7 linked regions of the Cricetulus griseus genome follow. The protein of the gene in region 1 interacts with the protein of each later gene in a pairwise test. Links are inferred from orthologs where the notes say so. Each region holds a gene or a part of one and is shown on either strand. Other genes may lie near its edges. The genes, in order: Lmo2, Tal2, Hnrnpm, Abi2, Ift43, Adamtsl4 and Znf24.

What was found.
Region 2: the proteins of Lmo2 (region 1) and Tal2 interact in a two-hybrid assay, tested with the Homo sapiens proteins (2 studies listed by BioGRID and IntAct). The link is inferred for Cricetulus griseus from reciprocal best matches to the Homo sapiens genes LMO2 and TAL2.
Region 3: the proteins of Lmo2 (region 1) and Hnrnpm interact in binary tests that used the Homo sapiens proteins (3 or more experiments, as listed by UniProt). The link is inferred for Cricetulus griseus from reciprocal best matches to the Homo sapiens genes LMO2 and HNRNPM.
Region 4: the proteins of Lmo2 (region 1) and Abi2 interact in binary tests that used the Homo sapiens proteins (3 or more experiments, as listed by UniProt). The link is inferred for Cricetulus griseus from reciprocal best matches to the Homo sapiens genes LMO2 and ABI2.
Region 5: the proteins of Lmo2 (region 1) and Ift43 interact in binary tests that used the Homo sapiens proteins (3 or more experiments, as listed by UniProt). The two-hybrid records come from large-scale screens. The link is inferred for Cricetulus griseus from reciprocal best matches to the Homo sapiens genes LMO2 and IFT43.
Region 6: the proteins of Lmo2 (region 1) and Adamtsl4 interact in binary tests that used the Homo sapiens proteins (3 or more experiments, as listed by UniProt). The two-hybrid records come from large-scale screens. The link is inferred for Cricetulus griseus from reciprocal best matches to the Homo sapiens genes LMO2 and ADAMTSL4.
Region 7: the proteins of Lmo2 (region 1) and Znf24 interact in binary tests that used the Homo sapiens proteins (3 or more experiments, as listed by UniProt). The two-hybrid records come from large-scale screens. The link is inferred for Cricetulus griseus from reciprocal best matches to the Homo sapiens genes LMO2 and ZNF24.

Annotation. Positions count from the first base shown.
Region 1 is NC_048599.1:73,666,554-73,670,681, reverse strand, and holds the start of Lmo2 (rhombotin-2), read left to right. Parts: upstream 1-1,328; 5' UTR 1,329-1,549; coding exon 1,550-1,556; intron 1,557-1,683; coding exon 1,684-1,903; intron 1,904-4,128. UniProt on the Homo sapiens protein: Acts with TAL1/SCL to regulate red blood cell development. Also acts with LDB1 to maintain erythroid precursors in an immature state.
Region 2 is NC_048595.1:90,008,382-90,012,247, reverse strand, and holds Tal2 (T-cell acute lymphocytic leukemia protein 2), read left to right. Parts: upstream 1-1,158; 5' UTR 1,159-1,236; coding exon 1,237-1,563; 3' UTR 1,564-3,366; downstream 3,367-3,866.
Region 3 is NC_048598.1:95,278,598-95,282,705, forward strand, and holds the start of Hnrnpm (heterogeneous nuclear ribonucleoprotein M), read left to right. Parts: upstream 1-1,308; 5' UTR 1,309-1,377; coding exon 1,378-1,490; intron 1,491-4,108. UniProt on the Homo sapiens protein: Pre-mRNA binding protein in vivo, binds avidly to poly(G) and poly(U) RNA homopolymers in vitro. Involved in splicing.
Region 4 is NC_048595.1:414,707,313-414,710,812, reverse strand, and holds part of Abi2 (abl interactor 2), read right to left. Parts: intron 621-3,500; coding exon 447-620; intron 1-446. UniProt on the Homo sapiens protein: Regulator of actin cytoskeleton dynamics underlying cell motility and adhesion. Functions as a component of the WAVE complex, which activates actin nucleating machinery Arp2/3 to drive lamellipodia formation.
Region 5 is NC_048598.1:117,642,464-117,645,963, forward strand, and holds the end of Ift43 (intraflagellar transport protein 43 homolog), read right to left. Parts: intron 1,406-3,500; coding exon 1,333-1,405; intron 1,105-1,332; coding exon 1,029-1,104; intron 526-1,028; coding exon 463-525; intron 306-462; coding exon 186-305; 3' UTR 24-185; downstream 1-23. UniProt on the Homo sapiens protein: As a component of IFT complex A (IFT-A), a complex required for retrograde ciliary transport and entry into cilia of G protein-coupled receptors (GPCRs), it is involved in ciliogenesis.
Region 6 is NW_023276806.1:60,821,259-60,824,758, forward strand, and holds part of Adamtsl4 (ADAMTS-like protein 4), read left to right. Parts: intron 1-52; coding exon 53-110; intron 111-422; coding exon 423-760; intron 761-888; coding exon 889-1,510; intron 1,511-1,684; coding exon 1,685-1,787; intron 1,788-2,660; coding exon 2,661-2,797; intron 2,798-3,500. UniProt on the Homo sapiens protein: Positive regulation of apoptosis. May facilitate FBN1 microfibril biogenesis.
Region 7 is NC_048595.1:213,152,838-213,157,045, forward strand, and holds the start of Znf24 (zinc finger protein 24), read left to right. Parts: upstream 1-1,408; 5' UTR 1,409-1,538; intron 1,539-1,671; exon of another isoform or gene 1,672-1,806; intron 1,807-1,904; exon of another isoform or gene 1,905-2,054; intron 2,055-2,060; exon of another isoform or gene 2,061-2,201; intron 2,202-4,208. UniProt on the Homo sapiens protein: Transcription factor required for myelination of differentiated oligodendrocytes. Required for the conversion of oligodendrocytes from the premyelinating to the myelinating state.

The sequences.
Region 1 (4,128 bases):
GTTTTGGACCAACACAAGGGCATGCATACAGACACAGATTTTAATTATCCTCTTTCAGTTCACAAATTTCAGGACATGGAGACAGAAAGTGACATGAATCTGTATGTTGTGAGTCAGGTTATTACTAGTGAGAAATCAATGTGGATTTGGACATTAAGCATCCAGGAATTCACTTCTGGCTTCAGCAGGCATATTCCAGGGTGAGTTGATCTAGGCTACAAAAGAATCTTTATAATGGGTTTGAAATGCCTGTGACCTTGATAAAACAATGGATTGTGAAAGCACTTGGGAGTTTCCTTTTTACAAGCCTCAAGACTGGCATCATCGTAAACTAACGAGCCTTGAACGATCATTTCTGAAGCCAGTTTCAAATAAGTCAAGGCCCAGGGGAAGCCACGGTTTTTCTCCCTGGAAAAGTAGCTAGCTAGTGTCCTCTTCTTCCCTTTTGCATTTCTTTCTCCTTATAGAACTTGCTTTCGAGCTTGAAGGAGAAGACTGAACCCTAGATCAAGCCTGTCCTTTTCTTTGATTTACATAGGGCAAAAAAAAAAAAAGCAAGTAATAACTGTAAGGTCCTTGATTATTGGGAAGGCACTTCCGAGTATTGCTGGCACTTTACAGAGAGGGCAAGCCTAACCGCTGGAGTCCGCTCTTTGAAAGATGCTGAGGGAGGGAATTCTGTGGCCAGCAGATGGAGAGGAGACCCGGACAGTGTGGTCCCTCCCAGCCACCCTCCCCGCGGGATTAGCTGCCCCCAGTACTGCTCAGGCGCACCCGGCGCGTGAGGTGCCTGATCGCACAGCTCGCATCCCCTGTTTGGAGCGCAGTCGCAGCCGCTAGCTAGCCGCCAATAGAGCCGCGCTGCTGTCCCGGGCATCCCAGAGCACCGCGACAGTGGACCTGGGACCTAGAACCTAAGACGAGCGCGCGAGAGCCAGCCACTAGGAACGCTTACATTTCTGCAGGTGCTTATTTCACATTCTTGTATTTTCTTTCCCGCGGGAAGCCAAAAGGGAAAGGCAGAAGAAGGGGAACCCTGGAAAGGACGAATTAGTGGCAGCCCGGCTTCTTGCCCCTGGAGAGGTACTCAGGGGAGACTCTCCGACGCGGGCCCCTTTAAGAAGCTAAGTCAGTGCTGCTGCTGCTGTTGCTGCTGCTGCTACTGCTGCTGCTGTTTGGATTGCTAATCCCCAGGAGCCCCGTTTAAAAAAAAAAAAAAAAAAAAAAGGAAGAAAAAAAGGGGAGGGGGCGGGCAGCTGTCTCTTTAAATGTGATTTCCTTCTATTGTATTTGAATCGTGATCAGGAAAAAGGAAATGAAACCAGAGACAGAGGGAAGCTGAGCGAAAATAGACCTTCGCGAGAGAGGAGGGAGCCCGGGGACAGCCGCGCGGTCCGCTCCCCGCCCCCAGGCCGCCGCCCCCTCTCTGCCCTCGGCGCCCCGACCCCGACGAAGGTGTGAGGGGCTCGGGGCGACCGGGCGGAGCCTGCGACTGCGCGCGATCGGGACCGGGCGGCGGCGGCGGCTGTGGTGACGGCAGCGGACCGGGATGGAAGGTTAAGTCCTGGGCAGCGGCAGCTGCCGCAGCCGCCAGAGGGAGGCCGGGCTGCTCCCCGGCCCCCTACCTCGGCCGCCGCGCGCCGGGCAGCCGGCTGATTCGCTCTCTCTCTTTGGCGTTTGAAGGGAGCGCGGTGACTGTCCTTGAGCGTGGAGGGGCGAGCTCGCCGGCGGAGCGACCGAGCAAGAGGAGGCGCAGGAGCGGCGGCGCCCGAGCACCCGAGGGGGTCCGAGTCCAGGCAGCCGGTCAGGCACGCGCCACAAAGGGAGCGCCCCCGCCACCCGGCACGCCGCCTCCCTCCCCAATGTCCTCGGCCATCGAAAGGAAGAGCCTGGACCCGTCTGAGTAAGTGTGGCGCTTCTGTCCCCGCGCCCCCACCTCCCCCACCCCACCCGGTTCCAGGCTTGGAGCGAGGGGCTGGCTTCAGGTCCGCTCCCGCAGCGTGCCCTTGGTCCCTCGGTGTCTCAGGGGCTCTCCCTGCTTCTCGGGTGACTCTGGAGACACCGAGAAGGACTGGGTGGCGGAAGCAGTACCAGGGATCGGCCCGGCGACCCTGCGAGCCGCTCCAGGCTACCTGGAAAACACTCCAAACCTTCACCGGCGCCAGAAAGTTTGCCCAGGAGCAGGCACCTGGAGCCCGGAGGCGCAGGTGATGTGCAGGGAGAGTGGATGGAAGGATTCTCCCTCCTCCCTTCTCGCTCCACCGGGTTCCCTTTCTCTTTGTCCATTTGGCCCTGAAAAGGGGAGACACTCCCCTTTGGGGTCCCAGACAGTCTTCTACCCAGCCCGGGGCAGAGCGACTGCGGGCACTGATGGGGTCCGCCTGTCCACCTGGGAACTGGTTCAGGCCTCCAGAGACTTCTAGAATAGCTAATTCCGAGTTCCTCCGGGTACATATTCGCCCCTCCCACGAGTCTTCTAGTGTGGGCATGCGAACCTCGAAAGTTAGTGCTGTGTGTGTGTGTGTGTGTGTGTGTGTGTGTGTGTGTGTGTGTGTGTGTTTTGCTGGGGGGCTTGTTTTGTTTTGTTTTGTTTTTTGTCTAGGTCCCCCCCCGGGGGGAGCAGAATCCAATCGAACTCCCAGAAGGGTTTGGGGTCAGCGAACCAGAGCTGTAATAAACTTGCACTGTCTATGCTCTGAGCTTTGCGCTGGTTTGCAAAGAACATCCCCCATTCCTGTCCATACCTCAGCCCATTCTCTAGCCTTAATAAGGGGAGCCAGGAATGCTTAAGGTATCGTTTTTCGCGTCCACGCAAATGCCCTTTTAAGAGTCATTAGCTGTCTGGTTTTGCGTTTTTATTCCTTTGAAGTCTCCATCTAATCCTTTGAAGGGTTTTGTTAACACAAGACCAAAGGAGCTGGCTAATGACTTGTCCATTTGTGCTTGTAAGCAGCATTTGTTTTGGTGGCTTTTTTTTTTCCTTTTCCTGCTTTAAAAGAATTGTGCCTTCCTGCTGAAGTTTCCCTACTCACCCCCCCCCACCTTCAATTTCAGCCTTCTGTGGTGTTTATTTACCTGGGTTTTACCCTCAGTCAGCAGCATAAAAACCCAGCATGTTCTCATAAAACACAGGAAGTCCCACGATCCAGCGAGAATATAAACATCACTCTTCAGTCTTGAAGGTTAAGACACCAGCTCCGAAAGGAGCTAGGTTTGTTGACATAAAGACCAGCTTCCTCAAAATCTCAGGAGAAAAATAACAACCCTTTAAAAAGCAAGTCGGTGTCTATAGTTTGTTCTCTTTTAAAAATAAACTTAGCATTACCTCTGAGCTCTGAGTTTTCAGAGATTGGACAAGACATGATACTCAACGTAAGAGAGTCAGACAGACAAACTGGTGTTTACTGATTTCCTATCTGCACAGCCAAGCCGCTCATCCCTTATTAGAAGTTGAATCTACAGAGTTCAACTCCTTTTTTTTTTTTTAAAAAGGATTTTATTGTTAAGTATGTGCACATGTGTGTGTGTGTGCACCTATGTGCAGGTGCTGCGCCCCCCCCCCCCGACCCCTTGCAGGCCAGAGTTGCTGGATCCCCTAGAGCTGGAGTTACAGGTGGTTGTGAGCTACCCATTTTGGGTGCAGACTCTAACTTGGGTTCTCTGAAAGAGCAGAAAACACCCTTTGGAAAGTAAGTTTTCTTTCCAAAGTTTGTGCCTTTTTACCCCCCTTGAGACTAGAGAACAGAAAGGTATCTCAAGGCTGTAATAGTGAGCAAGAGGCCCACTGATAGTCTGCAATATGTGCCCAGTGAAGGCAGGCTGTCATTGAAGATGGACAAGCCAGGTGGAAACAGAACATTTCCCCCCCACTTCCTAGGAAATTGTTGAGAAATTTTTCTGGAAATCAAAGCTATAGAGGTACTCTGATATTTAGGATAGGCTGGTGGAAGAAAGTCAAATATTAACTTAAGGTGAATCTCATTCAGTCTTTCACTTACATTGTTCACCAGAGATAATGTCACATCATCGTTAATTATGGAAAGACAGATGGAGTTGGGATCTTGTCCTGCCCTTATCTGCTCTCCGACCATCATGTCTTTTTCTGTTGCTACTCACTCACCTTCTAGA
Region 2 (3,866 bases), on another chromosome or scaffold:
GGAAACAGCAGGAATGAAAAGGTAGAGTGGGTTAACAATAGCATCACTGTTTGGAGGATGCAGAGGGGTTAAGTGCCCTGGGAAGCTGAGGCTGGAGCCAGCAGCAAGTGACAGCAGTGAGCTGGGAAGACCAGGCTGCCTAGGGCCAGGCTTTTGCTTATTTGCCACTGTATCATGAAGGTTCCCATTAAAATGCACTAATCCAGACCACTTGGGAAAAAAACGGGGGACTGTGCCTCCAAGAGTTAAAGATGGCAAAATGAGATTTCATGACAGCTTTCCTAATGTGGAAAAGGTGAGCTATGGGAGTGCCAAGAAGCCCTGGTATTTGCTGTGGATCCAAGCCACAGAGCACCTGCCCCCGTTCTTTTCATTCTTATCAGGCTGCACACCCCTCCCATGTCTGTTTTCCTAAATCTGGGTGTCACAGCCCTTTATCACCCTGCTCACAGTCTTATGAGCTACTGTGTGAACATTCTAGCTATTGGAGATTGGAGCCCAACCCTCCAGCTAAGGTCAGTTAAAACAAGGATAGCTGTCACATTTTCTCCTATTCAAATGTCCTTTTATTGATGAAAACTGGGGATGCAGCCTTTTCTCTCTTAAAAGCTCGTGACACACTGCACATTCACACTCAACACTTCCTGGGCTAAATATATACTTTATTCACACATGTATTAATTCCATACTGTAAGTGATTTTTGATCTACTGGGAAGGATAGGTTATAAAGGAAGTAGTGGAGTTGGAGATGTTACTTAGTTGGTGCTACATGACAAACATAAAGCCCTGGGTTCAATCCCCAGCATGCTTAAACGAAAAATGGTGGCACAAGCCTGAAATCCTAGCATTCAGGAGGTGAAGGTAAGAGGATCAGAAGTTCAAGGTCATCCTTTGCTGCACAGTAAGTTTGAAGCCCGCCTGGAATGCATGAGATTCAGCCTCAAAAGGAGAGGTGGGAGCAGCAGGGGAGGGACTAAATATAGTTTCATAATGGTGGCTTCAAAACAGGCTAGGGGAGGCTACAGGGACCTGTTTTTCTTTTGCACTTTCTTCTGCCATCCTTTTTTTTTTTTCTTAAAAGAGACATTTCTAAAAAACTCAAAATGGATTTCCTAAGGTCTGAGTTGAGAAGATCTAACACTGCAGAACTTGGCAGAACACGTGATTGTAACTGGACCTCTTACAAGGTCTCGGCCACCACAGCCCCTTTTCTCTCCCATCTTAGGAACCTGGACATGACCAGAAAGATCTTCACAAATACCAGGGAGCGCTGGAGGCAGCAGAGTGTCAACAGTGCCTTTGCCAAGCTGCGGAAGCTCATCCCCACTCACCCTCCAGACAAGAAGCTGAGCAAGAATGAAACGCTCCGTTTGGCAATGAGGTATATCAACTTCTTGGTCAAGGTCTTGGGAGAGCAAAGCCTACAGCAAACAGGAGTGGCTGCTCAGGGAAACATTCTGGGGCTCTTTCCCCAAGGGCCCCACCTGCCAGATGTTGATGAAAGAACTTTACTCAATGACTGTGGAGTTTCTTCCCCCGGCCCAAGCCATGAGGCTCCCTAGGGTGGCTGTGACTGTCAGCCCCCAGGACGGTACAAGTTGAAAAGTCCTGTGGTTTCATTCTGTAAAGAGGTGTGACGCAGGAAGTGATGGGGACAGAAGCTGAGAGCTGCAAGGAGACTTGAGCAATGTTGCCCTGGCCTCATTACCCCAGAACCTCAGGCAGAACAGCTAGCTGCTCTCTGTTCTATAAGTCTGCAGAAGTCCATAGCAAAAAAAGCAAACAAGCATATGTTTAAAACGGCCATCTCACTCACGACTTCAGTAACGAGGATTTCCTTATACTGGATCTCAGATGGATGGGCAAAGCTGTTGCCCTCTGAAAATACTTTTGCTTTGAAAAAGGAGACATGTTTGATTGAGGGTAAATACAAGAAATCTTAAAATTGATGGATAGAAAGATAGCCGCTGTGGAAACCAGCCTGGCAGCGGTGTGCGGCCGTCTCTGGAGGGATGTCCCTTTGGAGCAGAGCTGGGAGGATTATGTATGTGGGAAGATTCCATGTCCTTAGGCCTCTACAGAATCATGCTATTTTACTTCAGTTGAGCCGCTGGAACCAAATAGTGGATTTCATTCATTCGAGGAAAAACCTTGATGATTTAGGAGTTAGACTTCATAGTTTTCTTATAAAAATTAGCTAAAATGAGTGAGCAAACTACTTAGTGTGACTTACTGGGTACTGAACTGTTAATTCAAATTCCTGCTGACTTAGGTCCTGTATAATTCAATAATTATGAAAGCCCAAATGTTGCCATTTAATATTTTGTTGAGAGCAAACAATAGAAATAAAGGACCAGATAGATGCTAATGAACTAGTGCATTTAACTCCACCTTCCTACCTCCCAGGGAGCATTAGCCTGGTCATAAGCAGGGGCAGGGCAGCCAGCACCCAGTAAATCAGTAGAGCAGTATGGATGCTCTGTCACCACCACACACCATTCTGGTCCTCATGGACTTGGATTCAAAGAAGAATCCATTGGCTGCGCCCCACATGCAGGTGTCTATCTCTAGGACATTATATTTCCCAGAATTTTTTTGGCTTTATGATCTTCTGAGTCACAGGTGGGAAATCTACGGATTGTGGTTATGAATTTCCAGTATCTATACAACACAGGAATTTAAACGTTTTGTCTCTCTGGAAGGTATTTATAAGTAACTACATCATTAAGGTCGATTTAACCAATGCACTTTTAGCACAACAGGCTTCCCCCTATGTCCTTTGCTTAGCCTGCACTTGATTAATTTCTGCACAGAAACAGTATAGAGACAGGGAACCACAGAGGCTGGTGGAGCCCTTCCTTCCACTCCAGATATGTATGCCTTTGTCACCACCTTGGGGAGAGTCAAGCTTATCTCCAAATTACCAGGCAGTGAGATGTTTCAAAGTTTTTATGGCTGTTGTCAATTAAGTAATACTGCCCTCTCATCTGGCATTAAATAAAGTACGTTTGACAGTGACTTTACTTTTACTTAGCTTACTCGAATATGAAGAAAGCAGAGGCCCTCTGTTCCTAAAAGCAAAATTTTTGTGCTTTATACTGTACACACTCCCTTTCCTGGTGCTTTTGTGTGTGCTCAAAGAAGGCTGCCCACTGAAATGCTACAGGGACCCCAAAAAGATGTGAGTGAGGGGGAAAGTTATTTAAAGACAGCCTAGAGGAAATCCTTTCACAGATGAACCAACCTTTACAATGTTATTATATGTAATGTACTCCTTAAAGTATTTATTCAGCTTTAGCTTCCTTCCTTTCTTCCTTCAATTCTTTCTTTCTTTCTTTCTCTCTCTCTCTCTCTCTCTCTCTCTCTCTCTCTCTCTCTCTCTTTCTTTCTTTCTTTTTTCGAGACAGGATTTCTCTGTGTAGCTTTGGAGCCTGTCCTGGAACTTGCTCTGAAGATTCACCTGCCTCTGCCACCCAAGTGCTGGGACTAAAGGTGTGCACCACACACCCCCACCCCCGCTTTAATTTTCTGTATCAAGTTGAATTAAATTAACAGGACTGTCAAAAAAACAAAACCAAACCAAAAAGAAACAATAAACAGCTGTAATCACGTGTGGTCCCAAACCTAGTCGTGATATGTGTGAGATTGGAAACTAATTCAAAACTCCCTGTGTGGTTTTCTTTGGTGGTCCTAGCAATAAGACTTCATAGTTCAAATGTGTTACAGTCCACTGGATGTTACATTTGTTTAGGGGCCATTTGAGTCTAAGAGAAGAGTTAAACCAAATTTTCTGACTATGTTTCTCTGTTCTTTAAACTGAAGTGAGCATTTGATCTGCTTTGGACAGTAATGGAAATCTTTAGAA
Region 3 (4,108 bases), on another chromosome or scaffold:
CTTTCATTTTCTTTCTGTCCTATTTCCATTTAAAGAAAGCTGATGTCTCCTTGACATGACATGGCTGTTGCCACCCATGAAATTATAGCGGGGGTGGTTACTGGCATAAGATAGGACCCTTAGCATTCCATCACGGTTGGGCGATAGGCTCTCTGAGGACCTACTGGCAGTCGTTGCTGGAGAAAGGAGGTGTCATTTGCTTCTGTGGTGTGGCCACTGTTCAGTTGTCCATGCTCAAGTAAATAAACCCCACACCTATGCATATGTAAGCAATCCTAACTCAGAAGGTCACAAAACAATGACATGGAAGTGGGAAACTTGTTGGAAAGAAGGTTCAGTGGGAGGGGGGATAAGATGGTAACTGAAGGTGACTATGATGAAAATACAGTATAGGGTCAGAGATTGAAGCTAGTAGAGTCCCTGGGTTCCATCTCTAACACTGAACAAACAGAGCACGTTCCTCTAGTCTATCATTCCAGCACTCAGGATGTGGAGGTGGGCAGCTCAGCAGACATTCAAAACTAGATTCTGCTACACAGAGTTCAAGGCCAGCATTGGTTAGAAACCCTGTCTCAAAAAAAAAAAAAAATGCGTTGGTGGCACAAGCCTTTAATTCTAGCACTTGGGAGGCAGAGGTAGGCAGATCTCTTGAATTTGAGGCCAGTCTGGTCTACAGAGTGAATGCCAGGACAGACAGGGATTACACACAGAAACCCTGTCTCAAAAAGCAGCCCCTCCCCAGTCCCAAGCAAACTCAAAATACATGATATATATTTTTGAAGTTGTTAAAAAAAATAAATTAATAGCCAGATGTGGTGGTGCATACCTTTAATTCCTGCATTTAGTAGATAGGAGCTGGAGGATCTTCCAGCCAGCCAGGGCTACACAATGAGACCCCGTCTCAAAAAAGAAAGAAAAATGAATAAAACGGGGAAAAAAGAAATAAGCTGGAGTGAGTAGGTCAGTATGTGTGCTCTCATTACAAGTGTGAAAGGGGCCGGGCGGTGGTGGCGCACGCCTTTAATCCCAGCACTGTGAGTTCCAGGCCAGCCTGGTCTCCAGAGCGAGTGCCAGGACAGGCTCCAAAGCTACACAGAGAAACCCTGTCACGAAAAAAAAAACAAAACAAAAAAGAAGTGTGAAAGGGAAATACTTGGCTGTCCTTACACTCAGGAGCAGTCCCCGCTGGCGCCGGGAGGCGTGCCCTGATAGCCAGGGGGCGTGGCTTGACGGGCCAGGGGGCGTGACCCTAGGCGAGCAGGAAGCGGGAGCCGGTCGCAGCACACGCAGGCGTTACTGGTCGCGCAGGGTCACGTGAGTGCGCAGGCGCAGCTCTGCACACTTCGCTCCCTCACACAAAGCCCAGACGCGGAGAAAATGGCGGCAGGGGTCGAAGCGGCGGCCGAAGTGGCAGCGACAGAGCCCAAAATGGAGGAAGAGAGCGGCGCGCCCTGCGTGCCGAGCGGCAACGGAGCTCCAGGCCCGAAGGGGTGAGTATTGTAACGTCAGTCCGTCCTCCTCTAAGTCGGGCCGGGCTACTTCGCAGCTCCGTTAGGCGTGTTGGCTGCTTTCTCTTCCCCCATGGCGGAGCGGCGCGGCGCGGCGTCTGCGCAGGCCTTTCCCTGCCGAGGGGCGGCGGCGGCGGAGGCGGTGGCGACGGCGAAGCCGGGAGAGCCTCACGGGTCACCCTCTGCCGACAGCGCCGGCCTCCGCTGCCTCAGTGTCCGGGCGGGCCGGGCGCGTCGTCGAGGCCGTAGGCCCGTGGCCTGCTCTTTGACTCCGGGAGCGCCGATGGCGCGCAGGCTGGCGGGAGCAGCCTCGCTGCACCTCTCCCTGGGCTCTGGCTGTGAACACAGGTTTCGGCCCCTCGGCATTACAACCCGATGGGGGTGTTCTTGTCTCAGTTTCCCAGACCCGCCAAGTTAGGGGCGGGAGGCGTACGCGCGCGGGTTCTCACGTGTACCGTCAGCAAACGGCGGCGGGACCGGGAAGGTGTCGGGCACGGGCCTCGTTGCGGGGTTCCGAGACCCCCGGTGTCACCCACCTCTCCCGCAGGAAGTGCTGGCTTCTTCCATCAGAATGGCCCCCGGACCCGGGCTCCTAGGCCGGAGCCCTTCCGCCTCTCTCTGTTGCCTTCTTCCTCAAGTGCGCAGTTGGTAACAGTGGGGAGAAATGTTCCCTAGTTACTCACACTTCATCCTTAGCGACAGGTAGAAAGTGTGCGGGCGAAGGCATCCCTTCGGGATTTCAGGGTTCCGGAAATTAGGATAGCCAGACTTCATCATCCCATTTTCGAAATCATGTTGGAGGTCTGTTCAGAGACTTTAGCGTGTTTTTCTAAGTTTCCTAGCTCGACCTGGTGAGCCCTAGCTTTAGGGGGAGGAGGCTGAAGCCCGAAAGGCTCCAACGTTGCAAAGTGTGACTAGGCCATATAGAGTGAGTTTCAATCAAGGTTGCCATTGAATCAGTGGGAAATTGGGGAGACCGTATCTCAACTTAAAAAGAGGGCTAGGAACGTAGTGATAGATCGGTGACCTGACACTAACTAGATTGGTTCCCTAGTAACACATCACATGGCGGACCTTCCCGGGCCAAAGAAAAGGTTTTCTTCGGGGGGGGGGGGACGTCCCTGTGGAACTCTGCTCATACTGATTTACCATTACTTGAGAGAGGTATGGAGAAACATTTTGGTTCTAAGACCAGCGCTTTATATCGCTGAGTAAGACTGGAAGCTATAAGATTCTGGGGAATGAACTTATTGCAACATTAGTTGATAAAGCATTTGCTAAATATTGGCTACTTTGTTACAGGAGGAAATTACAGATCTTTTTTTTAATCTTAGGGAGAAGTAAAACACCATTGGTTAACTGGTTCATGTCTGTGATTTCAGCATTTGGGAGGTTGAGTTCTCCGGTTTTGGCTACATAGCAAGTTCAAGATTTGCCCAGGCGACATGAGTGCCTGCAGAAAACAAACAGAACAAAAATGTATGAACGTGTAATATTATAGCCCTTTAGGAGTATTTGCCCAGGATTCACAAGGCCCTGGATTCCACTCCACAGCACTGAAAGAGAGAGAGAGAATCCTCCCTTTGGTTGTTCCCAACACTTTACTATGGAAAGTCTCAGCCTTTGAGTGTGCTCATTTTTACTTCCCTGTCCACCCCCCTGGGAACCTAGGGTCTTGAGATCTAGATAATACTCTGTGAGCTACACCTCCAGTCAGTCTCATGTTCACTTTTTTCAGCCTTTGTTTTAGAGATGCCTTGTTGGGTCCAATTCCCTTTCTCTTCCCCCAATGTTTGCTTTGAGATAGATACCTGGCTAGCCTAAAGAGTCTACAGTGTAGACCTTGGTGGCCTTGAATTTGGAACAAGATGCCCCAGCTGCCACCCAGTTTCTCGAAATCAAAAGTTATACACTACCACTTCAGGCTCACCTTGTAGGATTCTCTGAGGGCCAAATTTATTTGAAGGACTTTAAGAAAAGTTATAGGATGAAGTGCTGCTTGAACCTTTCTAGGTGAAAGGTTGAATTTGTTATAGAACACAGTATAGTGATACAATTTCCAAATTTTCCACTGTCCATTTTCAACTAGAAATCTTGTGACTGGGTCATTTGACAACCAGTATATGCATAGGAAGCTTCAGAGGTGAAATAGCCTTTGTTGGAAAGAACCTGAGTGGTCTGGGTTAATGGAGGATACTTGAGAAATGTGGCAGCAGTTTTGTAGTGTGGGTGAAAATAGTTTTGGTTTTGTTGGGTTTTTGTTGTTGTTATGTATGTTACAAAATTCTTCTTTAAAAGAATGGAGGCCAGGCGGTGGTGATGCATGCCTTTAATCCCAGCACTCGGGAAGCAGAGGCAGGCGCATCTCTGTGAGTTCGAGACCAGCCTGGTCTGCAAGAGCCAGTTCCAGGGCAGCCTCCAAAGCCATAGAGAAACCCTGTCTCTGAACCCCCCCCCCCAAAAAAAAAAATGGAGGGGTACCTCCTCACTACTTTTTGATTAGGAATTAAACCTGGGTCTTAATGCTTATAAGGTAAGCACAATGTCTACTGAACCTTCTCACCAGCTGCTTTTTCTTTTTTCTTTTTTCTTTTTTTGGT
Region 4 (3,500 bases), on another chromosome or scaffold:
ACTTGAACATGTAAAAACAACTCAAAATTAACTGACAGTTCAGCACAGTGATACACACCTGTAACCCCAGTATGAGGTACAAGTAACAAAAGTTAGAAGCCAACCTGGGCTAACCTGGTAAGGCTGCTTCCAATAATGCTGATGATGATGGAAGAAAGTGCAGCGATACAAATAATTTGGAAAAATAATCCTCTTCCTGGGGATTCCAAAAAAAAAGTCCACTTGTTTTTTATTTTTGTGTCATATAATTTGTGAAAAGCAAGTTCAATAGTAACAGATAGACATAAAATTTTACCATATCAAAATCATATTTTCAAAATCATAAGCCCTATAAACTGACTGAATAACTAAAATGGAACAGATAATACAAATAAAGCTTTACCAGCAAGTCTCATTTCTATTTACAGATGTCTTCTCATCCCTCCAGACGACCTCATGACACTTACCCTTTTCCAAGTAAGACCTTGGAGCCCATGGTGGGTCCTCTTCAGCATAAGGATCACTGTACTCAACCACAGCTGCTTCCTCCTCTTCATAATCCTCTGGAGGTGGCGGTGGAGGCGGGGATTCATCAAAGACTGGCTCTTCCACAGGTGGTGGTGGAGGTGGTGTATCTGAAACTAAGAGTTTATCAAGCTGACAAACTATATAGTATGTAGAGTTCAATATTTATCTGAGCTTCCTGATTCATTAAATATAAACCCAGACTCAAAAATAATCATCTTTCAAAAACTGAATGCTAAGAGGAATTTTCCCACCATTATGTTTTCAATTGCCAAGCAAGACTTCTCCCTCCCTTTTGGGTTAAGTGTTGATGGATGTTGAGTGCGGTTTAGTCCAAAACTTTACTGTTAATTGGCCTCCAGAACCTTTCAGTAATAACACATAAGCCCTATAAATACTGATTATCTTTCTAAAGAAATGAGTACAATATAGTTGGGTTTCATTATCAAAGAATTATCAGAGATATTAATAACTTGAGTAATCACAATCACATAAGAAAGTAAAATGATGGGGACTGGAAGATGGCTCAGGGGTTAAGAGTACTGGCTGTTCTTCCATAGGTCCTGAGTTCAGTTCTCAGCAATCATGTAGTAGCTCACAACCACCTACAGTGAGATCTTGTGCCCTCTTCTGGCCTGCAGGAATACATGCAGACAGAACACTGTATACATAGTAAATAGACAAATCTTTAAGGAAAAACTAAAATGAGTCAAAGAAATAGTCAAATTTTTACAATCTGCTACTTTAGTCTCAGTTTTCTGTATATTTACTCAGACAAGTTCGCATTATATAACCCAAACTAGCCTCAAACTCACAACCTTCCTCCTCAACCCCAAGTGCTAGGATTATCAGGATTCACCACAACACCAGCCTGATTTTCATTAAACAGAGTTACATCAAACTGGGGTAACTTCAGTCATTACAATGTTTGTTTGCTTGTGGAATTTGAACTAATTCAGGTTTAGTCATTATTTAAATTTCTTGAGACTATATGTCCATATGTATTATTAGAATCAGTCTCATCGTATTGTAACATGTAAAAAAATCGTCTCCAAACCCAGAGAACTCAAAGCTGTCAAAATGCTTGGTAAATACTTGAACACAACAAAGCAAAAATAAATTTGCACTGACCTCAGTTTTAATCATCAGGACTCACTCTTACAGAATTGTGCGCATGAAATAAACTCTGAGCAGTCAGGGCACCAACACTGTGCTCTGCTACTTCAAGCATTGCTGTCTTAGAATTTTTTTAGTTTTGTTTGTTTGTCTTCTTAAAAATGTAACACAAATCCATGTTCTTACTATATTCTTTATTCAAATTTAATGTTTTTCATCGAACGGGGTGAAAGCAATAGTGAAACCTGTGTTCATATGAAGAGACTGAGAGCACAGAAATAGATACAAGGGATTTTCAGGAAAATCAGAGAAATTACACTATAAATTACTCAAAATTCCAACCCTGATCATTTCTGCCTTCCTTATAACTGCCTCAGAGCCAGACTGTTTTTACTTGTGCAGTATATCAGTTATCCAGCTGGTACTTTAAAATACATTCTTTTAGTTCATCTTTCCCTAAGACAACTCATTTTTACTTTTTTGTGACTATAGGGCTCAATCAAGATCCTTACACATTCTACACAAACCCTCCAAACTATACCCCCAAGCCACGGTCTTGTTTTTAAACTTAGTTTTATGGATGTGAAAAGAAGATAAATGTTCCTATAGCAACAGACAGAAGAGCACCCGAGCACTCCCCTCTGCGCATTACCTTAGAAGCCACACTATACTAGAAGATAAAAGTTGTAGCTCTTAAGGAATACTTCATCACCACTAAGTAAATAACACCCAAGAGCCTCATGTGGCTAGGACCTAGTTCCTGCACTGAGAAGAGTGTGGTGGGCAAATGTCACCAACAATATGGTGGGCAAGTGTCAGCAACATGCAACCAACCAAATTTTGATATAATTAAGTAGAGTGAAACTTTAAGAAATTATAGAAGCGTACGTCATAGACCAAATTCTTTATGTGGACCAGAAAAGGCTTCCTGAGACCTGATGAATGAGTCAAGTTAATGGCTGGGAGGTAGTAGGGCATGAGGAATAGACGTTCAGGTTGGTTGTAAAGAATAAAAATGCTTTTTCGAAGTACAGAGATAAAGCAGGAAGGAAATTTTCAAAGAATCATCCAAAGTTGGGCAGGCAGAGGAAGCCTAAAGGTCTCGGGACAAAAGGGTTTGCTAAGTTTGGGCTCTACTCAATGAGTAACAAGGGGCCACATGAGAATTAAAAATAATAATAACAGGGGTATAATTGTGCATTTTATCACAGTGTAAGTGGTTTAATAAAGTAAATAATAAATATTCCAAGTGATTCCAGACTCTTCCACATATTAAATTTAATGCAAAAAAAATTAGTTCCATAGACTATCTCTAAACTAATGCCTAGAAAGCCGTAAGATGAATCTAAAACAAAGATACACATCTTCCAAGGTGCATGTTTTGAAGAAAATAACATTCCTTTGAATGTATAAGCCTTGCTACAACTGCTAAGCTAGTCCTAGCATACCTCACACACAGGGAGAAAGGAGGAACTGAAGGAAAGAGACTCAACAATCAGTTATGATAGGAGCCAAATTAGGAGAGGTTTTAACATAGTAACAGTGCTGCTATGACAATGTTTTACAATTGTCCACATAACCAAAGTTCTGAACACCTCTGTGATCCAAGTACTTAAATAACTTAAATTAAAACACTACTTCTACCCATGAAATATTTTTTGATGTTTCTACAAACCTCACAGCTTTCACTAATTACTGGTAAAAAACTAATGACTAATTCCGTAATTATATTCAACTTTGAAGTCCAACTTTTGAAGAAAATATTCTAATAGTCTTCAAGGTCAGTTTCAAAATCTGAATGCTCACTGTGTCTGATTTAAAAAACAAAAAAACAAACAAACAAACAAAAAACTTCCCCACTTACTATCCAACTGTCTTCT
Region 5 (3,500 bases), on another chromosome or scaffold:
ACTGGACAGAATGGAAGAAATGCTCACAGAATAAAGCCATTTATTGAATTGGAGTGATCCAATGTGGTCTACTGAAAATAAATATTTTATTACAAAATATTCAGTATAAAAATTCTAAGCTGCTTGCAAGCTCTCTTGGTTTTAGACTTCTTCCATTTATTCAAATACACAGTGACGATGCTGGGTCATGTATACCTGGATGGTCCCACAGGGTCTTCCTTCTCTGCCCGCAGCAGGTCCCACTCCGTGAGGAGCTCTGATGACACCTCAGTGTACAGATGGTCCCAGTCCCAGCCCACATCATCCTGCCAAAATGAAGACTACTAGGTAAGAGAAAGAAAAGCCTTCCCTCCAGTCAGTGGCCAACTTCCCACCCTATCCAGGTCCAGGAAGGCACAGGCTATGTTGGGGGCTCCCTGGATGGAGGAACATTGAGGCTCAGGGCAGGAATGAGTACTGTACCTCTCGAACTTCATGCTCTGGCGCCAGCACTTTGGTGAGGAGCTTCAGGTCAATTTCTCCATCCTGCAAATGTACAAGAAGCCAGGCTGGACCCTTGGGGGCTTCAGCATCACTTTTACAACTAAGGAGAGGAGCTTGCGTGTGACAGAACTCCCCAAAATAAGACCCTAGAAAAACCTTGATCAAAACACAAATCCCCCAAGTGAATGGTATGGCCCCTGAGAAAGGAGGGGTGGCTGTGGCATCGTCCTCCACACTGGCCTCACTGGGGAAAAGCAACACCAAGAGGACAGAGCATTCCACATGGGCAGATAGCAACGGGGTGGCCGCCAGGTGGCCATGGTGTGCCAAGAGTGTGGCCAGAGAGCAGCTGGGAGTCTGGGACAGGAATCTATGGCCCATGGAGGGTCCAGGTATGCTGTGAGATGGCCAAGGATGTCACCTCCAGCATTTCTAGGCAGCCTTGGGATGTGGAGAAAGTGTGTGTATCTCTAGAAGAACTGAGGACTTTCACCCTTGGAGGTCCCCTGGAGCTGGCCCCTCTGGGCAGCAGTGAGTCCACTCACCAAAGTCTGAAAGGCTGAGTACTTCATGAGGTCATTGTCCAGGTCACGGTAGGTCATCACTCTGTTTACCTGGATGCTGAAGGAAAGGGAGTGAAAGAGCCACAGGCAGTATCGGTTCTAGGAGAGCTCCTGGGTTACCATCTCTAGAACCTTGTGTGCAGACAAAATGCCCTAGTAGAGTTTGAAGAACAGAATGGAACCCCTTGCCAGAAAGACCAGCAAGGCCCGCTGCAGATGGCGTTTGGAGTGTGTCAATGTATATGCCCTGGGCTTCCTCACCAACTTCACACTTAGCTTTACCTACCTTGGAGGGGACGCCACCTGCAGCACGAAATCTTCCTCCTGCACATCTTCCAGATCCGGGATCACTGGAATATCTGCAAGGAGAGGTGGAGCTGTTTACTGTCCACAACGTGAACAGGGCTCCTGTCTATTGCCCACTGACTGCTTAGTCAGCTTCAACACGCCAGGCCTGCCACTGTAGGCTGTGGTTTCACAGATACCCAGACAGAGTCAAACATGGAGCTCTATCCATTGCTGAGCCACAGGCCTTATCCCAGGATGCATGGAAGGAGCACTTCCTGATGGACTCTGGTACCTGTGTTTCACCTTGAGTTACATACAGTGACTCGGATGTAGTCACTAGGGAAGGGGTGTTGGGATGGATCTCCACGGAGAAATGTAAAGAATGAGAAGAAAAGCTCAGCCCCTGGAGGGGGTAGATGAGAGTGGAGCCAGGGGCGTGGGCACAGTCAGGGACAGAAAGGACGACACGCAGGTCACAAGCAGAAGTGACACACATTCGGGATCTACACATGTGCTAGCTCCAGAGAGCAGCTGTCCCGGGCAGGATCCCAGCTGCTTGCCTCTGGAGGACACTTAACTCCAGTCACAGAACCTGACTCCTGACTCCTGACACCATCAGAGATCAGGGTTGCCATTTTCCAGGCCTACTGTGACACTGGCTTTTTCTTGCAATTTTTGGGAGTTCTCTCTCTTAACTCTCCAGATATATTACACACACACACACACACACACACACACACACACACACACACACACAATGTGCAGAGATATAAAACCACTCCTCCTGCCAGTCTAGCAATGTCACACAAACAGGAGAACCAAGGGACAGGCCTGTCACTCCATTAGGGCGACCTGCTTAAGTTGCCAAAAAAGTATCCATAGAGATAGACACTTTTCCTCCAGAAGACTTCTATTGGCTTGATTAGGGGTTTTGTTTCACTCAATCAGGGCAAAGAAAAAAAAATGGTGGGGCAGAAAGAGAGGCTATGTGGGGTGAGGCAGTCTTGGGACTCTAAACCAACTGCAGATAGACGACAAAGAAAAACATCCCAGAGGGAAGGCTTGGGCTTCCATGGGCTAGATGCAGTTTTAAAGTCCCCGAACAGCTGGGGAGACTCCTGCCACTTCCAGCCTATTCATTATTTAGACATTGTGACTGCTCTAGTCAAGCTAAGCCAGAGTACATAAATGTCTTTATTACTACTTCCAACTGCAGACTTACAGACTCACTGTGCCCAGAAATGGAGAGTGAGCAAAGGACAGGGGAGACTCAGAAAAGAAGACAGGGTACCTGGGAAGAGGGCTAAAAATAAGAAGAACGTGCTAACAGGAATTGAACAAGAGACATTCAGCAAGCCCTGTATCTAAAGGGGGCCCTTCTGAGCTTGGAGTCTATCTCCCTGTCCTGTTACAAGCATAAGACTCGGAATCCCTAAGATTTCATTCCTATAATGAAGAGAAATGTAGCTTTCTTTTTCCCCTGTCCCCACAATCAGTACAGCATGCAGGTGGGGCTCCCTGGCTACAAGGCTGCACAGTCCGGCAGAGGGACGGAGAAGCTGGCTGTGTCCTGTGCCATCCACAGAGTGACAGTTTTCGAGCCAGCCAGTCAGTGCTCGCTCACTGTTGGCTCTCCTCAGCTGTGGAGTCCAGCCTGAGATGAATATTCAGGAGTTACTGAGAAATGGCCCACGCTGAGTAGGGGCTCAGGACGGGGTCTTCCCCAAGTCCCCTTTCCCTTCACAACTCCAGCATTTGGACCGTCAACTCAGCCCAGCCTCCTCAAGCTCGGAGGAATTGCACTTCTGCTCAGCGCTCACTGTCACTCCCCCTGGGCTCTCCTGGTGGGCCCCACTTCCCTCCTCCAAATGTGCACCAGGGAGTGTGGGGCCTGCCCATCTGTGACAGATCAGAGGTCAGCACAGGCCTTGGCAAAAGGCTGCTCAGAGTGGCACTGGTGGGGCTGGCCACACAGTGGGACTTCTCTCTAATTGGAAGCCTGGTGCCCAGTAGAACCCGGTGAACCGCCTGAGTGAGACAGAGCCAGCGATGACAGCCAGGCCAAGACAAGCTGGAACATTCCAGTGCAGTGACAGCTTGAGCTATTGCAGCAGAGGCAGGCCATCCAATTCCCCACTCCCAGTGGAACAGGTGGCCGTGGAGCAG
Region 6 (3,500 bases), on another chromosome or scaffold:
TGTTGTAACACTTCTGGCTCCCTCTAAAGTCCCCCACCCCCTTGGTGTGCAGGCTCTGGTTATGTGTAATGCTGTTTCTGCCTCTTCTTCAGCTCTGCCGGAATCAGGAGGTGAGCCCTAGCTAAGTGATCGGCTGCTACCCTGCTCAGGGTCCCTCCACTCTACCCTAGCCTGCCCTATCGGGAGGCTTCACATTCCCACGGGAGACTTCAGCCCTGTGTACCAGGCTTGGCCCACCCATCTCCCTTGCCAATTTCCTCTCTTTTAGTCAAAGAACATACACACGCGCGCGCGCGCGCACAGACACACACACACACACACACACACACAAGGCTGGAGTCCAGCCCTACCGGTACATGTGACCTTGGACAACTAACAACCCTTGAACCTCGACACTAATTCTAACCTTTTCTCCTATGTAGCTCTTTGGACCTTCTCTTCAGACACCAGCAGAGGAGGGCCAGGCCCCTGAGGGCCTCTGGGGACATTGGGGCCGGTGGGCCTCCTGCTCCCAGCCCTGTGGGGTGGGAGTGCAGCGCAGGAGCCGAACATGTGAACTGCGCCCAGGCCTACCCCTCCCTCCCCGACCCCCAAGACATCCAGAAGCCCTCCGGCCCCGGGGTCAGAGCTCTAGACCCCAGGTTTCCCGGGGTCCCCAGTCCCTGCACAGGCCACAGCCTCGGGGAAGGGGTGGCCCTCTTCAAGGTCCTGCTTCTCATCTGGGGAGAGAAAAGACCCAGGAGACTCCAGGGGCCCAGAGGTGAGGCCCTGAGGGCAGAGCCGAACAGGGAGGGGCACGGGGGCTTCGCCTCTGCAGGCTGACCTTCTAGGACATGGACTGGGGAAGACAGGCTAAAAGTCGACTCTGAGTCAGCACCATCCTCTCAGGTCCCGGGGTCGAGACCCTATCAAGCCAGGGATGTTTGGCTATGGGAGAGTGCCTTTTGCCTTGCCACTGCACCGGAGCCGCAGGCATCCCAGCAGACCCGAGCAACCCAAGAACTCTTCTACATGGGCAGAGGCCCTTCCATCCCAGCCTCCAAGCACAGAACTGGCTTCTGCAAACCACAGCTCTCAAATGCAGCTGCCTGAACTGCATGCCCCCTCCCGCTCCCCCGAAGCGGAAACCCCAAGGACAGGAAGCACTCAGATAGAGGTGCCCCCCAGAAGCAGTCCTGCTCCCTCTGACACAGGGATTCCTTCACCCATGTCCTTCTTTGGAGACAGTAGGTCTTTCCAGGGATCCCCTGGGCCACGAATGCCTACTTCCCAGGGTTGGAACAGTCCCCAGGGAACAGAGCGGCACCCTCATCCTTTCCCTTCTGTCCCCCGGAGTAGAGGCCAGCAGAGCAGGGGACACGGGAGACCTCGAGGGAGTTTTCACAGGTCCCCAGATGGCTGGCTGCCTCTGACAAGAGATTCCAGCCCCCTCTGGAGCCTTTTTGCTCCCAGTAGCCCTGTTCCAAAATGTTCTGGGGAAAATGAGCAGCTGAGAGCCTGCAGCCAGGAGGTGAGATCTCTGGGTCCCCAGCCTGAGTCCTCAGCTTGTGCTAAAGGTGGTGGGTCTATCTAACTTCAGGGCAGGAGCCTTGGTCTGTGGAGATGTCCCCAAGCCCCAGTCCAGCCCTGGCCTGCACCCCACGTTTCCTCTCCAGCGCTGATGTCTGTGTATCTGACTCCTCAGCCTTGCCCTCCTGAGCAGCCAGACCCCAGGGCCCTGCAATGTGCAGCCTTTGACTCCCAGGAATTCATGGGCCAGCTGTACCAGTGGGAGCCCTTCACTGAAGGTGCAGTTTCTAGTCCCCCTGGCAGGGTTGACTCAAGTTTGGGTGGCCCCTCTTTTCCTCCTGTGTCCTAATTCTCAGGACACATCAGAGACAAAGCAGCCTAGAGAAGGAGAAAAGCTTTCAGAAAATGATGGGTGGGTGGTCAGGACAGGAGACGGGCTGGGAGAGGGGGCTGTCTAGAGGTGCCCTTTGGCTGTGATCCGGGAGCGGGTGTGAACATGACTGGTTCACTGGTTCCAACAGAGAGCTACTATCTTTATGGTATCATAACAGTTGCTCCCAAGTTACTGTCCACTTGGACTTGGGTCCATGTCAGCTTGACACCAAGACAAACCTTCATGGGTTATGAACTCATAATCACAGGTGTCAAGAACCCTTTTAAGGAAAGGCAGGATGGCTCAGTGGGCAAAAGGAGATTGCCTCAAGCCTAATGACCCAAGTTTGGTCTCCAGACCTATCATGGAAGGAGAGAACCTACACCTGCAAGATGTTCTCTGACTCATACATGACTGACCATTCCTGTACACACTTAAAATAAGACAACAACACCACCAAAAAACAAACAAGGAACAAACAACAACAACAACAAAAAAAAACACACATACACACACAGTCAAAAAACAAAAAAACAAACCTTCTTGATGGCCAAGTGCAGAACTTCCCCCTTTTAGGAAAATAAGGTGAGAGAATCAGTAAAATTCATAAGTTTGAGACCACACAGCATAATAAAAACCCTAAGCGTGGGAACACCCCCCCTCCCAGCCTCTTCCTCCACAGCAGTTTCAGGGTGCTCCACATGCCATAAAGGCAGAATGCTGCCAGGGCTTCCTCCTTCAGGGACCCCAGCTAACTATCCTATATCTCATCCCTTAGTTCAGGGTTCCCAGCGCTGTGAACTGAACTGCCGCCCCCGGGGCTTCCGATTCTATGTCCATCACACCGAAAAGGTCCAGGATGGGACCTTGTGTCAGCCTGGATCCCTAGACATTTGTGTGGCAGGACGCTGCCTGGTGAGGGGGGTGCAGGGTGCTGGTGAGGGGGGTAGGACACTGGTGAGAGGGGCAGGACGCTGGTGAGGGAGGGCAGGGTGCTGGTGAAGGGGGACAGGGTGCTGGTGAGGAGGGCAGGATGCTGGTGAGGAGGGCAGGGTGCTGGTGAGGAGGGCAGGGTGCTGGTGAGGGAGGGCAGGGTGCTGGTGAGGAGGGCAGGGTGCTGGTGAGGAGGGCAGGGTGCTGGTGAGGAGGGCAGGGTGCTGGTGAGGGGGTAGGACACTGGTGAGAGGGGCAGGACGCTGGTGAGAGGGGCAGGGTGCTGGTGAGGAGGGCAGGACGCTGGTGAGGAGGGCAGGGTGCTGGTGAGGAGGGCAGGGTGCTGGTGAGGAGGGCAGGGTGCTGGTGAGCGGGGCAGGGTGCTGGTGAGGAGGGCAGGGTGCTGGTGAGGGAGGGCAGGGTGCTGGTGAGGAGGGCAGGGTGCTGGTGAGGAGGGCAGGGTGCTGGTGAGGAGGGCAGGGTGTTGGTTTGCACATGGGCACGCACACACACACCCTCCTTTAATTCATTATTACAACAGTGAAAACACCAGACTGAGGTGGCCAAAGGGAAGGTTCTTGCTGTCCAGCAAGGGGTGTGTTGTAGGAAGGATCCCACCAGACATGGCTATGCTTGGAGGAGCTCACAGAACATCTCACTTGTCAAGCAGGGCAGGGGGTGCGCT
Region 7 (4,208 bases), on another chromosome or scaffold:
TTGGGATTAAGCCTTATAGCCCTGGGGTATTGCCAGGCAAAATGATTGCAAAGTTAAAGGAGTCATCAACATGCCTTCTACAAATCCTGGAAGAGCCCGATGGACTTCTCATAGGAAAGACGGAGGAGGGGTGAAGAGCTCTTAGGAGTCACAAAAGAGAGTAGCCAAGCTGGAGCCTGGGTGAGGCCAAATGGGACAGTGAAATGCTGGATAAAGCCTCCCAGTGAAGAAAGGAGTTAGCAGGGGTTATGGGAAGGTGAGCTCTGGCTGGAATGAAATGGCTTGCTGTTTGGTCAGCTGCTTGTTTACTGCTCATTCACTGACCCAACAGAGGCTCTGGACACTTGCAGAGACCCTTTCCTGAATGAGACAATAAGGCAAAGCTTGAGGACCTTTTCAATGTTTTGCAAGGCTTGACCTATGCTCCAACAAAACTTTCCAAAACAGGGCTCTTTTGTGCCATTTCTGAGACTTGACATGTGACCTAGCAAAGGCTGCAATGTCGACAGCCCACAATTCATTCATTTATTCAAAGAAAACTTTGTACTTATTGAGTTTTCTATATGCCAGCTGGCATCCTGAAACTAGGTGGGGGTACTGTCATAACCAGGACAGAGAGGACAGAGACGACTCCACCTTTACTGGACTTTCAAAGCACAATTCTAAGAGTGCCCCTAAGCATATGGAGACCACCTGAAAGAGGGTTGGTCAGTGAGGCTGAGGCTCCACAATAAGCTGGAGACATAGCCAGAGGGAAAAAGCAGGCAACAGACCATAGACGAACTGCAGGACAATTTAACAAATTTTTAGTGTCATAGTTCCGGTAGTTGTAATGCACCGGAGGACTTTAGAGGAATGAGGTGGTCTGACTGATTATGACTGCAGCTGCTTTTTGACATGAAATACCCAGTATGCTCAGATTGTGCAAATTCCCAAAGTTCTCAACTAGCCTCATCTTGTTTGATGACTTGTTATAATCTTTGTTAACACAGCTAGTGGGAGGCAACAGTCTGAGCCATGTTTAAGTGCAAACCTGACTTCCTACTTATAATGAGATGTCGGCCCTGAAGCGGGACTACAAGTTCCTGCACTATAGGATGTGGGGGTAAAGGGAATTATTTATACGCAGAGCACAGAGGCTGTGTGTGCCTAGCACGACTGTGACAGGCTTTCAGAAATGTTCACTTTCGTTAGTTACTCCAGAGGGTTCCTACGGGGAGCACGGGACACTCGTGAAACTGCCAACTACCTTCCTCTAACTCCCCTTTCCTTTTTTGTGAAGTGGAACAGAGCTCAGCGCCCACTCTGGCAGAGGCGCAAGGCCAAGCTCGGCTTCAATACGGCCATTGTCATCAAGCCGCACCTCCCCCGCTTGCCGCGCGTCCCCATGGCAACTCGGGGCTTCGCCTGCCCCCCACCCCCGCCCCCCGTCCTGCGGACCGGAAGCCGTGCGCGCCGGGGGCTTGTGGGAAGAGGCTGTAAGCGACGGTGCAGCGTCTGCCCGGGACGGCGAGGCTGCGGTGGGTCCCGAGACGGAGGTCAGCGGCGTGCGGGGGCAGGGTTCGAGGAGGGGGCGCGGGTCGGGGCGCGGCGGCCGAGGGCCCGGCGTCGTTCGGCGTCTCGGGCGTGCGCGGAGAAGGCCGCGGCGGAAGGGCGGCGACGGCGGCCTGCCGCGCTTCGGGAGTCCGCCGAGCCTCTCGCGCCCGCGTCCTCGCCGATATGTCCTCCCCTCCCCCACCGACCGGTTTTGTTCTATTTCGAGGCTCTGTCCGCTCGCGGAGCGTTCTGGGAGTCGCTTAAACCGAGGTGGGATCCGTGGTTCTCGCGCACGGCCTTCTGGGATTTGTAGTCCCGCCGGTCTAGGGCGGAAGTGCCCGTCCTGTGTGGAGACGGGTGTTCTGGGGCCTCTGCGGCCCTTCGCGGTGGATGCTGGGAAGAGGACATCAGCGGGGATTACTGGGGCTGGCTGGGCTCGGCGCTGTGAGGCGGGAGGTCGTTGAAGACCAGGATCCCGCCAAGTGCTTGACGGCGTTTCTCCTCGTCTCATGAGCCTGGTGCAGTACAAAATAGAAGAAAAAGCAATTTCTATTACGTAGAAATGCTTGAGCCGTTGATAGGGTCTGGTCCAGGAATAGGAATAAATAACCTGGATTTTGCTAGCAGGCCATCATCCCACTCAAGAATATTTATGGATCTATATGGTCTGTCTGTTTGATACAGTATTTTTTGATTGTCTTCCTCTTGACAGGTTTCAATAAGATTTTCTTAAGTTTCTGTGTTTTGTGTGTGTGTGTGTTTTTAATATTCTTGGCTCTGATAAATAAACAGTAGCTGTAAAGCGTATTGTTCCGTTCATTTGTTTTGTTTTGTTTTTCCAGACAGGGTTTCTCTGTGTAGTCCTGTCTGCCCTGGTACTGGCTCTGTAGACCAGGCTGGCTTCGAACTCAGAGATCCGCTTGCCTTTTGCCTTCCAAGTGCTGGGGTTAAAGGCATGTGCCATCACCGCCTAGCTAAGCTTATTATTCTTAATGTGCTGTGAACCATGGCACCAGTATGATTTTGCAAATACTAAAAGGATCAGAAAGTAGCTCACAGATTTCCCCAAAGGAAAAGCTAGGGGAAGCTACTTAAGGAAAAAGACTCTGGGCCATTATGAGAAGTTGTGAGTGCTTTTTCCTAATAGAATTTGCTGCAGTTGATTAACTGTCACAGTAAGTTTAAATGCATGTATGGTGGTGGATGCCTAAATAACATTTGCATGTTATGTGCAATAGTTTCTTCTCCAGCGTTATGTGAACTGTGTCAAAGTGAATCTGTGACAAGATCTAACAGCCCAGTTGTTTTTGCTATGTAGATGAGGATAGTCTTATTCTACCTAGGTACTGGGATTACAGGTTTAGGACACCATACCCAGCTACTAGTGAACATTTTTCACATTTATTTTGTTTAGGAAGTTCCTAAACACCTCAGTTTTGTTTTTTTAACTTCAAAGCAGTGCGCGCACGCGTGCGTGCGTGCGTGCGTGCGTGGTGTGTGTGTGTGTGTGTGTGTGTGTGTGTGTGTGTGTGTGTGTGTGTATGCCCGTGAGTGTGCATTGGCCTTGAATACAGTCTCTAACCCCAGGGGTGGGGAGGCAGTTTACCTGGTTCCTACTCCAGACTTGCAAAAACAAAATGAAAAGTTGGGCGGGCTAGGTAGCTCATTAGGTAGGGGGCTTGCTCCAAGCCTGACAACCTGTATTGGATCCCAGATTCCACAAAGCAGGAGGAGGGAACAAGTTTCTGCATCTTGTCCTCTGACTCCCACACCTGTGCGGAGATGTATAAACACAAAATAAATGTCAAAGTTTTGAGTCCCACAGTTCTGAATATTTAGTTTCTTATTTTATGTATGTGTATACCACGTGTCTTCCTGGTGCCTAAGGAGGTCAGAAGAGTGTTTGTAGTGCTGGGAATAAAACCTGGGTCCTCTGCAAGGACAGCGAGCATTCTTACTTGCAGAACCCAAGGGTTCAGAACATTTGGAGAGCACTTCGATAGGTTGATTCTTACATGGGTTCTTTAGGCTATTTAATTGCCTTTTGTTACTATATGTCACAGACTGACAGTCTTTCGCTGGAAAGGGCCAGGTTGTAAATAAATCCTAAGTTGTTTTAGATCTTAGCAGAAATTGTTGAACCCTATCAGTGATACCTTTATAGCCTGAACCATGATTAAATTTAATGATTTATAAACAACAAATTTAAAAAATATTATGGGGCTGGAGAGATGGCTCAGTAGTTAAGAGCACTGGCTGCTTTTCAAGAGGACCCAAGTTCAATTCTCAACACCCATATGGCCATTCCCAATGTCTGTAACTTTGTTCCAGGGGTACCAGCACCCTCACACAGACACCCTTATAGGCAAAAACCAATGCACATAAAATAAACCATTACAATTTTTAAAAATATTTTTACATTTTGTGTATGTGTGTAGGCATGCACGTGCAATGCCACACTTGTGGAGACCAGAGAACACCTTGCAGAAGTAAAGTTCTCTCCTATGTACATGCTGGTTATCAGACTCAAGTCATCAGGCTTGATCGAGGGTACCTTTGCCAGCTGAATGACTGTTGACCCTAGACTGATACATCATATTTTCCTATCATGAAATGTTTCTATGCTTTTTAGCCATTTAAATTTTTACACTATGGATAGTGTAATTGGCAGC